Linked DNA regions of Cricetulus griseus. The protein of the gene in region 2 binds, or shares a complex with, the protein of the main gene of each other region. Links are inferred from orthologs where the notes say so. Each region holds a gene or a part of one and is shown on either strand. Other genes may lie near its edges.

What was found. The genes of interacting proteins can lie anywhere in the genome.
Region 1: the proteins of Nelfe (region 2) and Ncbp2 are in contact, whole or in part, in a crystal structure (PDB 5OOB), measured with the Homo sapiens proteins. The link is inferred for Cricetulus griseus from reciprocal best matches to the Homo sapiens genes NELFE and NCBP2. Residues at the interface, in NP_002895.3 of Homo sapiens: Lys361, Arg362, Gln364, Ile365, Val366, Tyr367, Asp369, Tyr372; in NP_031388.2 of Homo sapiens: Phe49, Tyr50, Thr51, Thr52, Glu53, Gln55, Lys68, Ile69, Ile70, Met71, Leu73, Lys77, Lys78, Thr79, Ala80, Asp107, Glu121, Gln124.

Annotation. Positions count from the first base shown.
Region 1 is NC_048597.1:57,548,749-57,552,777, reverse strand, and holds the start of Ncbp2 (nuclear cap-binding protein subunit 2), read left to right. Parts: upstream 1-1,215; 5' UTR 1,216-1,292; coding exon 1,293-1,370; intron 1,371-4,029. Other genes in the region: protein NCBP2AS2, read right to left, coding at 771-1,070. UniProt on the Homo sapiens protein: Component of the cap-binding complex (CBC), which binds co-transcriptionally to the 5' cap of pre-mRNAs and is involved in various processes such as pre-mRNA splicing, translation regulation, nonsense-mediated mRNA decay, RNA-mediated gene silencing (RNAi) by microRNAs (miRNAs) and mRNA export.
Region 2 is NW_023276806.1:231,395,938-231,399,470, reverse strand, and holds the end of Nelfe (negative elongation factor E), read right to left. Parts: intron 3,092-3,533; coding exon 3,017-3,091; intron 2,913-3,016; coding exon 2,875-2,912; intron 2,730-2,874; coding exon 2,374-2,729; intron 2,283-2,373; coding exon 2,138-2,282; intron 2,054-2,137; coding exon 1,999-2,053; intron 1,859-1,998; coding exon 1,756-1,858; intron 839-1,755; coding exon 768-838; 3' UTR 519-767; downstream 1-518. Other genes in the region: Cfb (complement factor B), read left to right, coding at 62-111, 321-476. UniProt on the Homo sapiens protein: Essential component of the NELF complex, a complex that negatively regulates the elongation of transcription by RNA polymerase II.

The DNA.
Region 1 (4,029 bases), on a different chromosome or scaffold from region 2:
AGTCTCAAAATGACAAGGCAATTTATGTGCACAGGTTTCCTAATCACAGTTCAGTTAACTGACCATAGTGAGTACTCCAGACAGAGCCTCAAGGAAACCAAGTATCCTGTGCTGCTATAACAGAGGCCTCAGTGCTCAGTGGAGATTGAAAAGCCAGTCCCTGAGCAGGGAGTGCTCAAGAACACAGATCCTGGAGTCACACGCCTGGGCTCACCTCATTGTACAAGGCTTTGGGTTCAAAAAGTGGCCTCCACTTTCTCACACGAATGGGGTTTTAAGTCACAAACCACACAATGCAACAGCAAATAGCAACACAGACGCTTAACGTGTAAACTATTATTAGCAAGATCCTACAGACTTAGCAGCTTACATATTTAACCAGAGATCTTGGCAACCTCAGGGTTGTCATTCCATCTACCATCTTCCCTGGTATTCTCCTGCACCAGTGCAGATGGCAGTAGCGTTTATTTCGCTTCAGTCCCGCTTGCAGAAGGCAGGCTTCCTGGTCGTTTGTCCTTGGCTCTCAGTCATACTAAGTTTTGGTGTTGACTTTTATCTCTGGTGGCCTTCGGGGTCTTTACGTCCTGCCTAGTCACAGGACTACCACGCACATGTCCATTTGACCTTAGGCTTCTGTATGTTGACCGCCGCGTCAGGATTCGAGGCCGTGCATCGTGCGGGAGATGACTCATGTTTGCTAAGGTCGGTGTAGATCACTGGAGGGAGGGGTGGGGGAACGTGACCTAGGCCCGTGAGAGTGCAGTCTGTGCTTATGATTTGGTGCCCGGACCCTTCTGATGACCTGGGGATGACCCTGGTTGGTCCCGGAGGCCTCGGCGGAGTTCCTGGGTGAAGGTGTCCTTGAACCGGGTGGCGCGGCGACCCAAGGAGCCTAGGGGCTGACCCGCGAGGGCGCGCAGACGGCGGGCCGCGTCGTGGCCGCGCAGTTGCAGCTGCAGCAGCGCGAAAGCCGTGAGTTGCGCCGCCCGCCGGATAGGCCGTGACTCGGACAGCCGCTCCACCAGCTGCGGGTTGTGCAGCAGGGCTGCCAGCAGCCGCCGGAAAATCATCGTCCTCGGAGCGCCCGGGAACCCGGGGCGAGCCTTCACTCACCTTCCGACCGGCCACTCCCGACGACGGACAAGCCGGCGCCGCATGATGACGACACAGCCGCACCAGGATTGGCCCTGACCACGTCGGCTTACTGCAACAGGACGCACGCATTTCCGTTTCCGCCGCCACCGCCGCCTGGTCCTTCCAGTCGTGGCCGCGTCGTGGTTCGTGTCTGCACCATGTCCGGTGGCCTCCTGAAGGCGCTACGCAGTGACTCCTACGTGGAGCTCAGCGAGTACCGGGACCAGCACTTCCGGGTGAGGCGGGCCGGGCCACGAGAGGGGCTGGCTTTGGGCTGGAATACTGAGAAACGGTTTGCATTTGTCTTACTGTGTCTTCCACTCGTCTTATTGTGTCTTCCTTCCTGTTTTGTTGGGGTCCTAAAATGCGAATGGGGTCCCAGAGGTGTTTGGATATCATTGAAGCCACTTTACTCCTAGGGAACCTGGGATTTGCTTTTACAGTTTCTTACTGCTGCTGCGGGTACCAGCACCAATGCAGGGAGGTTCGGGTAGTGGTGGCTGTTTTGATGGGCTTGTCTTGCTTGGGAAAGTGTCTGTAATGAAGGAGTTATCCCTGCGTTGGCTGACCCAGACAGTATAGCCGTTTTTGTTTTTATAATCAGCTAGACATTCCCGTCTGGTATTACAGTCCTTAGTTTTTGTAAGACAGTCCTACAAAGTTGGCAATAGTAGGAGACTCAAAGTTGAGCCCTGTTTTTTGCTGTCTGACGGGCATCGGGCATGGACAAGCCACACGAGTCACAATAAGGTTGTCTGGATGGCAAAATCCAGTGCAGGCACTGGCTACACAGAGAAACCCTGTCTCGAAATACAAGCAAAAACACAAAGAAACTCAATCAGCTTAATTTGAAAACGTATACTGTGTGTCTGGTATGAGTTTCACTTGTACTGCTGTTTTTGTTTTGTTTTGTTTTGTTTTTAACAGTTCCCATTACTTTCAACAGTTCCACATCAGTAACTAACGATTTTGAATTTAAAGCATCCTGCAAGGTTAAAACCAGGAGAGGGATCATTTATTTCTTTTGTCAAAAGCCTGTAGCTCTGTTCGGACATTAATAATTTCTGTCGTGCATTTTTTAGTGTCAGTGCTGTACTGAGTGTGAAATTAAGTTACACTGAAGCTGTAAACTGTTTGGATTTTACTTGTGAGAAACGAACAGCAGTACAAAGTGAATCTGCTAGCCAGGTGCGATGGTGGACATCTGTATTCCTAGTTGTTCTGGAGACTGAGGCAGGAAGATCCCATGAGATCAGCTGGAACATGTAAAAGAAAATGTTGAAGTGATTATTTTCTCTAATGGATCATCGAAAGTTCTAAAACCTTGGGTTTATTTGGTTTGGGCTTGTTTGTTTGTTTGAGACAGGGTTTCTTGTGTAGCCCTGCCTGTCCTGGCACTCCCTCTGTAAACCAGGCTGGCCTTGAACGCACAGAGATCTGCCTGTCTCAGCCTCCCAGGTGCTGGTATTAAAGGTATGCAACACCACCACTACCACCCAGCTGGGGTTGTTTTTTTCAAGACAGGGTTTCTCTGTGTAGCTTTGGAGCCTATCCTGGCACTTGCTCTGGAGACCAGGCTGGCCCTGAACTCACAGAGATCCGCCTGCCTATGCCTCCCGAGTGCTGGGATTAAAGGTGTGTGCCACCATCGCCCAGGGCACCCAGCTGTTTGTTTGAATGCAAATGACTATTGTTCCATAGACTTCACCTGTTCAGTCCTGTTGTGATCTTAAGGCAATGTGGTAGTGGGGATAAGACCAGAATTTTACTTTGTTTTGTTTTTTAAACTGTAACTTGGAAAGCTAGAGAGATGTCTTAGAGGTTAGCACAAGCTGTTCTGGAGGACCTGGATTTAGTTCCCAGTCCTGGCATGATGACTCACAACCATCTGTAACTGATTCCAAAGGATCTGGTGCCCTCTTCTGGTCTCTGAAGGCACTAGCCATGCATCTGGTACACAGACATACAAACACGCAAAACACCCATACCTATAAAATAATAATAAAGCCAAGCCAAAAACTGTAACTTGGAGATGGGTGTGATGACCCATGCCTGTTACTGAAGCATTTGGGGGAGGTGGTAGCATGAGTCTCAGGAGTCTGAGGCCAGATTGGGCTATCTCAGAAAACAATTGGGCTAAGTAGACTTAGCTCAACAGGTAGAATGCTTGCCTAGCATGCATGCATGAAACTCTTGGGTAGATCTTGAGCTGTATATAAACTTGGAGTGGTGGTGAGTGCCTATAAGCCCAGTACTAGGAAAGTGGAGGCAAGAGGATCAGCAATTCAGTGTTATCCTTGGTTACAATGGTTCAATACAGCCTAAGCTACATGAAACCCTGTCTCAAAAAAACAGTAACAAAAGCATCTGGAGACAGTTGAGTGGTGGTGGCACAGGCCTGTAATCCCAGCCCAGCACTCAGGAGGCAGAGGCAGGCCTGGTCTTCAAAGAGTTACAGGACAGTCTCCAAACCTACAGAGAAACCCTGTCTTGAAACCCCCCCCAAAAAAAACAAAGTGGTAGGGGGTGTCTGGAGGACTCTAGTTCAGTCCCTAACACACCAGGTATCATCTCACAGCCAGTTTCAGGGAATCTGATGCCTCTGGTCTCCAAGGGCTGTCACACTGTGCGTGCATACGCATGCACGCATGCATGCACAATAACTTAAAAAGTAAAGAAAACTGCAGAGCTGGAGAGATGGCTCAGTGGTTAAGAGCACTGGCTTCCAAAGGTCCCAAGTTCAATTCCCAGCAACCACAGAGCAGCCCACAACCATAGTAATGAGATCTGGTGCCCTCTTCTGGCCTGCAGGCACACATGTAGGTGGAACACTGCATACATAATAAGTAAATACCTGCTAGCCTGAGCTCTGTTATAAAAAGAATGCAGGTGATT
Region 2 (3,533 bases):
CTGGCTATGGTGAAGCCCACAGGGCCCAGCCGTCTTTCCCTACAGCTTCTCTCTTCCACAGGAGATTCTGGGGGTCCTCTCATTGTTCACAAGAGGAGCCGCTTTATTCAAGTGAGTCTGTGGGGGAGACGCCCAGGGGCCACATATACCACAAAAAGGAACGCTTGATGCACGTGGCTGACTATAAGCCAAGCATCTGGCCTATGTGCACCAAGGAAGACAGTGCGAGCTGGGCCCCTGGTGTACTGTTTTGGGTCAGCTTGGCTGCTTTATGGGATTATGAAGTGTCAAGTGACCCATGGCACCCTTCACCTGCACAGGTCGGTGTCATCAGCTGGGGCGTAGTGGATGTCTGTAAAGGGCAGAGGCGGCAACAGATGGTACCTGCTCATGCCCGGGACTTCCATGTCAACCTTTTCCAGGTGCTCCCCTGGCTCAAGGAGAAACTCAAAGATGAGGATTTGGGTTTCCTATGAGGGGCTTCCGGCTGGGAGGGGCGAGGGTCAAATTAAAACAGCTGCGATAAGGACTGTATTCTTCATCTTTTGGGGGTAAGGGGTCAGGGGGTGTGCACTGGTCATGTTGCTACAAGTAACATCAACACTGACAGCCACTTTTGAAGGTTTAACCCCGATCCCAAGTGTTGAAAGACTAGAGGCTGAAGGGGGTGAGGGAACTTCTGCCCCAGGATTTTACTGAGACCAGCTTGGGGGCATACGAGGCACAAGGAATCCAGCTTCGTGTCCTAAAAGCCATCCACAGGTTTCCTACAGATCGTCACTGTACACAATCTGGGTCCTTTTGTCCCGGTGGCAGCCCTTAGGGCTGTTCTGGACAGCTGAGGAGGGAGGAAAGGGACAATTAAGATGTCAAGCAGCTCACAGGTTAGACCTGAGGTCTGAGTCTGATTATCTCCGCCCTGGCCTTGGCCTACCAGTGCTTATGCTGCCCCCTGGTGGCCAGAGTCTCACTATGGCTTAGAGAACGCAGAACCTTGTTACTGTGCGTGAGACATGTGAATGATGAAATCATGAAATACATGAAATTAAAGATGAGAACATCTCTGTGGCCCTTGCCGGTATCCTGGTCGATTCTGGTTCCTTCCTGGTGTCTGCAGGGCCTCTTGCTCTGAAAATCTGTTTCAGGCAGAGTGGGCTGTCCACACTGAGGAACCCCACACACGTCTTCTGTGGAACCCTCAGATCCCAAGTGCTCAGCTGCTCTTTCCTTACACTCCTCAGCCAAAGGTTCCATCCTACACCTGTGGTGCCAGAGGCAGCACCCCCCCCCCCAACTCTGGTCCTGTACTCTGCCTCTGCTGACTGCCCCTCCTCCTCAGAGCCTGGGTCCATGGCCCAGGGCTTCTGGGGCTGCTCTCGGGGGATGCCTCATGGCTCCTTCAATGAAGCTGCCACTTCCTCCTGGCAGGCCAGGATTGCTGGAGACAGAGCCCAGCCAGCTTCTTAACGTACTTGATCCCCCAAACCAGTCCTGGGTCACCCTTTTCTCTACAATTCCCATTTCTTGATGGTTCCAGACTCACAATTTCAAGTTCTGACACCACCCCAGCTCAGAGGGGGCAACATGGTTCTTGCTCTACTCCCCATGCCAGTCACTCCCCTCCCCTCCCCTTCCCTCCCCTTCGACAGACAGCCTGGCAATTCTCTATCAGCTGCCTAGCGCAAACCTTCACCCTTAGCACTCTAGGGAGTAGTGTGCTGTAGAGAGGAGATGAGGGAAGAATCCCATCCTTACCAAGGGAACCCCAGACAGATTTGCCAGTAGCAGCATCCAGCATGGGCTGTTTGCGGGCTATGTTGACTTTGAGCTGCACGGATTCCACCTGGGTCCCATTGAGCTGTGGGATACAATGGGAGGACAGAGGTGGGCATTACAGGGAGCCAGGGGACCAGACAGGGCTCTGAGGACAGAGTTTTTCTCAGTCGGGAGAAGAGGTGGACAGGAGGGACAGGAGGGAGGGGTCTGAGAAGTCCCAACCTCAGCAACGGCCTGATCTGCAGACTCCATCTTTTCATAGGTGACGAAGGCACAGCTGAGGTGAGAAAAAGCGGGATCAGTAGTGGTCCATGGCCCTAGTGTCCCCACACAGCTCCCTCCCCAGGAGGCTCGTCCTTACTTTCTGGGTGGGTCCATGGAGAGGTCAATGATGTTTCCAAAGGGAGAGAAGGCCCCTCGGAGGAGGGTGGGCGTCATGTCCTCTCCATACACATAAAGTGTGTTCCCCTTCCGAGGGGCCCTCCTTTCGGGGAATGAGTCTGACCCTGTGGGTCAGGAATTACAGTCATTCACTACTGAGTCCCAGTCACCCCCCTCTTTAGCAGGGCCCACCTAACCCTGGCCAAAAGCACGCACTGCGGAAAGGGCCCTCGCGCTCTCGGTCCCGTTCGCGGTCTCTGTCTCGATCCCGGTCTTTATCTTTGTCCCGGTCTCTGTCTTTGTCTCTGTCCCGGTCTCTGTCTTTATCTCTGTCACGGTCTCTGTCTCTATCCCGGTCTTTGTCTCGGTCTTTGTCCCGGTCCCTATCTCGGCTCCTCTCATGACTTCGGTCGCGGCTGCGGCTTCGGGGAGGGGACGCTGAGGAGCGGGCACCACCATGTTCTTCGTAGCTCCAGTCAAAACCTCGGGGTGGGCCATCACCAGCCCCGGGGCCCTCTGATTCTTCTCCATCTGGTCCCAGTTCCCGCAACCGATCGCTAGAAGACACAAAGCTGGGGAGAGGCAGACAGTAAGGACAAGGGGGCTCCATCTTCTTACAGACACACTCCGCCTGCAGCCTGCTCCTTCCACTCCAGCCCTGAACCTTCCAATGACTCTGGCCACTGACCCCACAGCAAACTGTGGCTTCTCTCTAACCTTTCATATAGAGATTTCCTTTGGGGACGTCTGGATGACTGAGGGGGGGAAAAAGAAGATAAAGAACAATTAATATGATTCCCAGGTGCTCGAACGGGATCCAAAATCTGTGGGTCTTTTGTCTTCAACCCCGGCCATTTACCTCCTGCAGGTCCTCATCAGCAGATACGCTCCTCTGGAACGGCTGGAAAGTGGGGGCAGGCCCCTTCTCAGGGTCCTGGGAAGGGATAGACACCCATGTTAGTGTGGACCAGCAGAGTTCCTCTTCCCTCTCTTCTTGGCTTCTCTTGATGATGCTGGTCTTTTTTTTTTTCCCCTTGGTTTTTTCTTTGGTTTTTGCCTATGTCTCCTGAGAGCTGGGGTTAAAGGCGTGCGCCACCAACGCCCAGCGATGATGCTTGTCTTTTTGTTTGTTTTCGAGTCAGGGTTTCTCTGTGTAGCTTTGGAGTCTATCCTGGCACTTGCTCTGTAGATAGGCTGGTCTTGAACTCACAGAGATCTGCCTGTCTCTGCCTCCCGAGTGCCGAGATTAAAGGCGTGCTGCCACCACCTGGCTTGCTATGCTATTTTAAAATAAGGGTTTGGTTTACTCAACCCTCAATCCCACCCTAGCAGCACCAATGTGGAAAACAGAAACGTAGGAGCCACCTAGGTTTCCT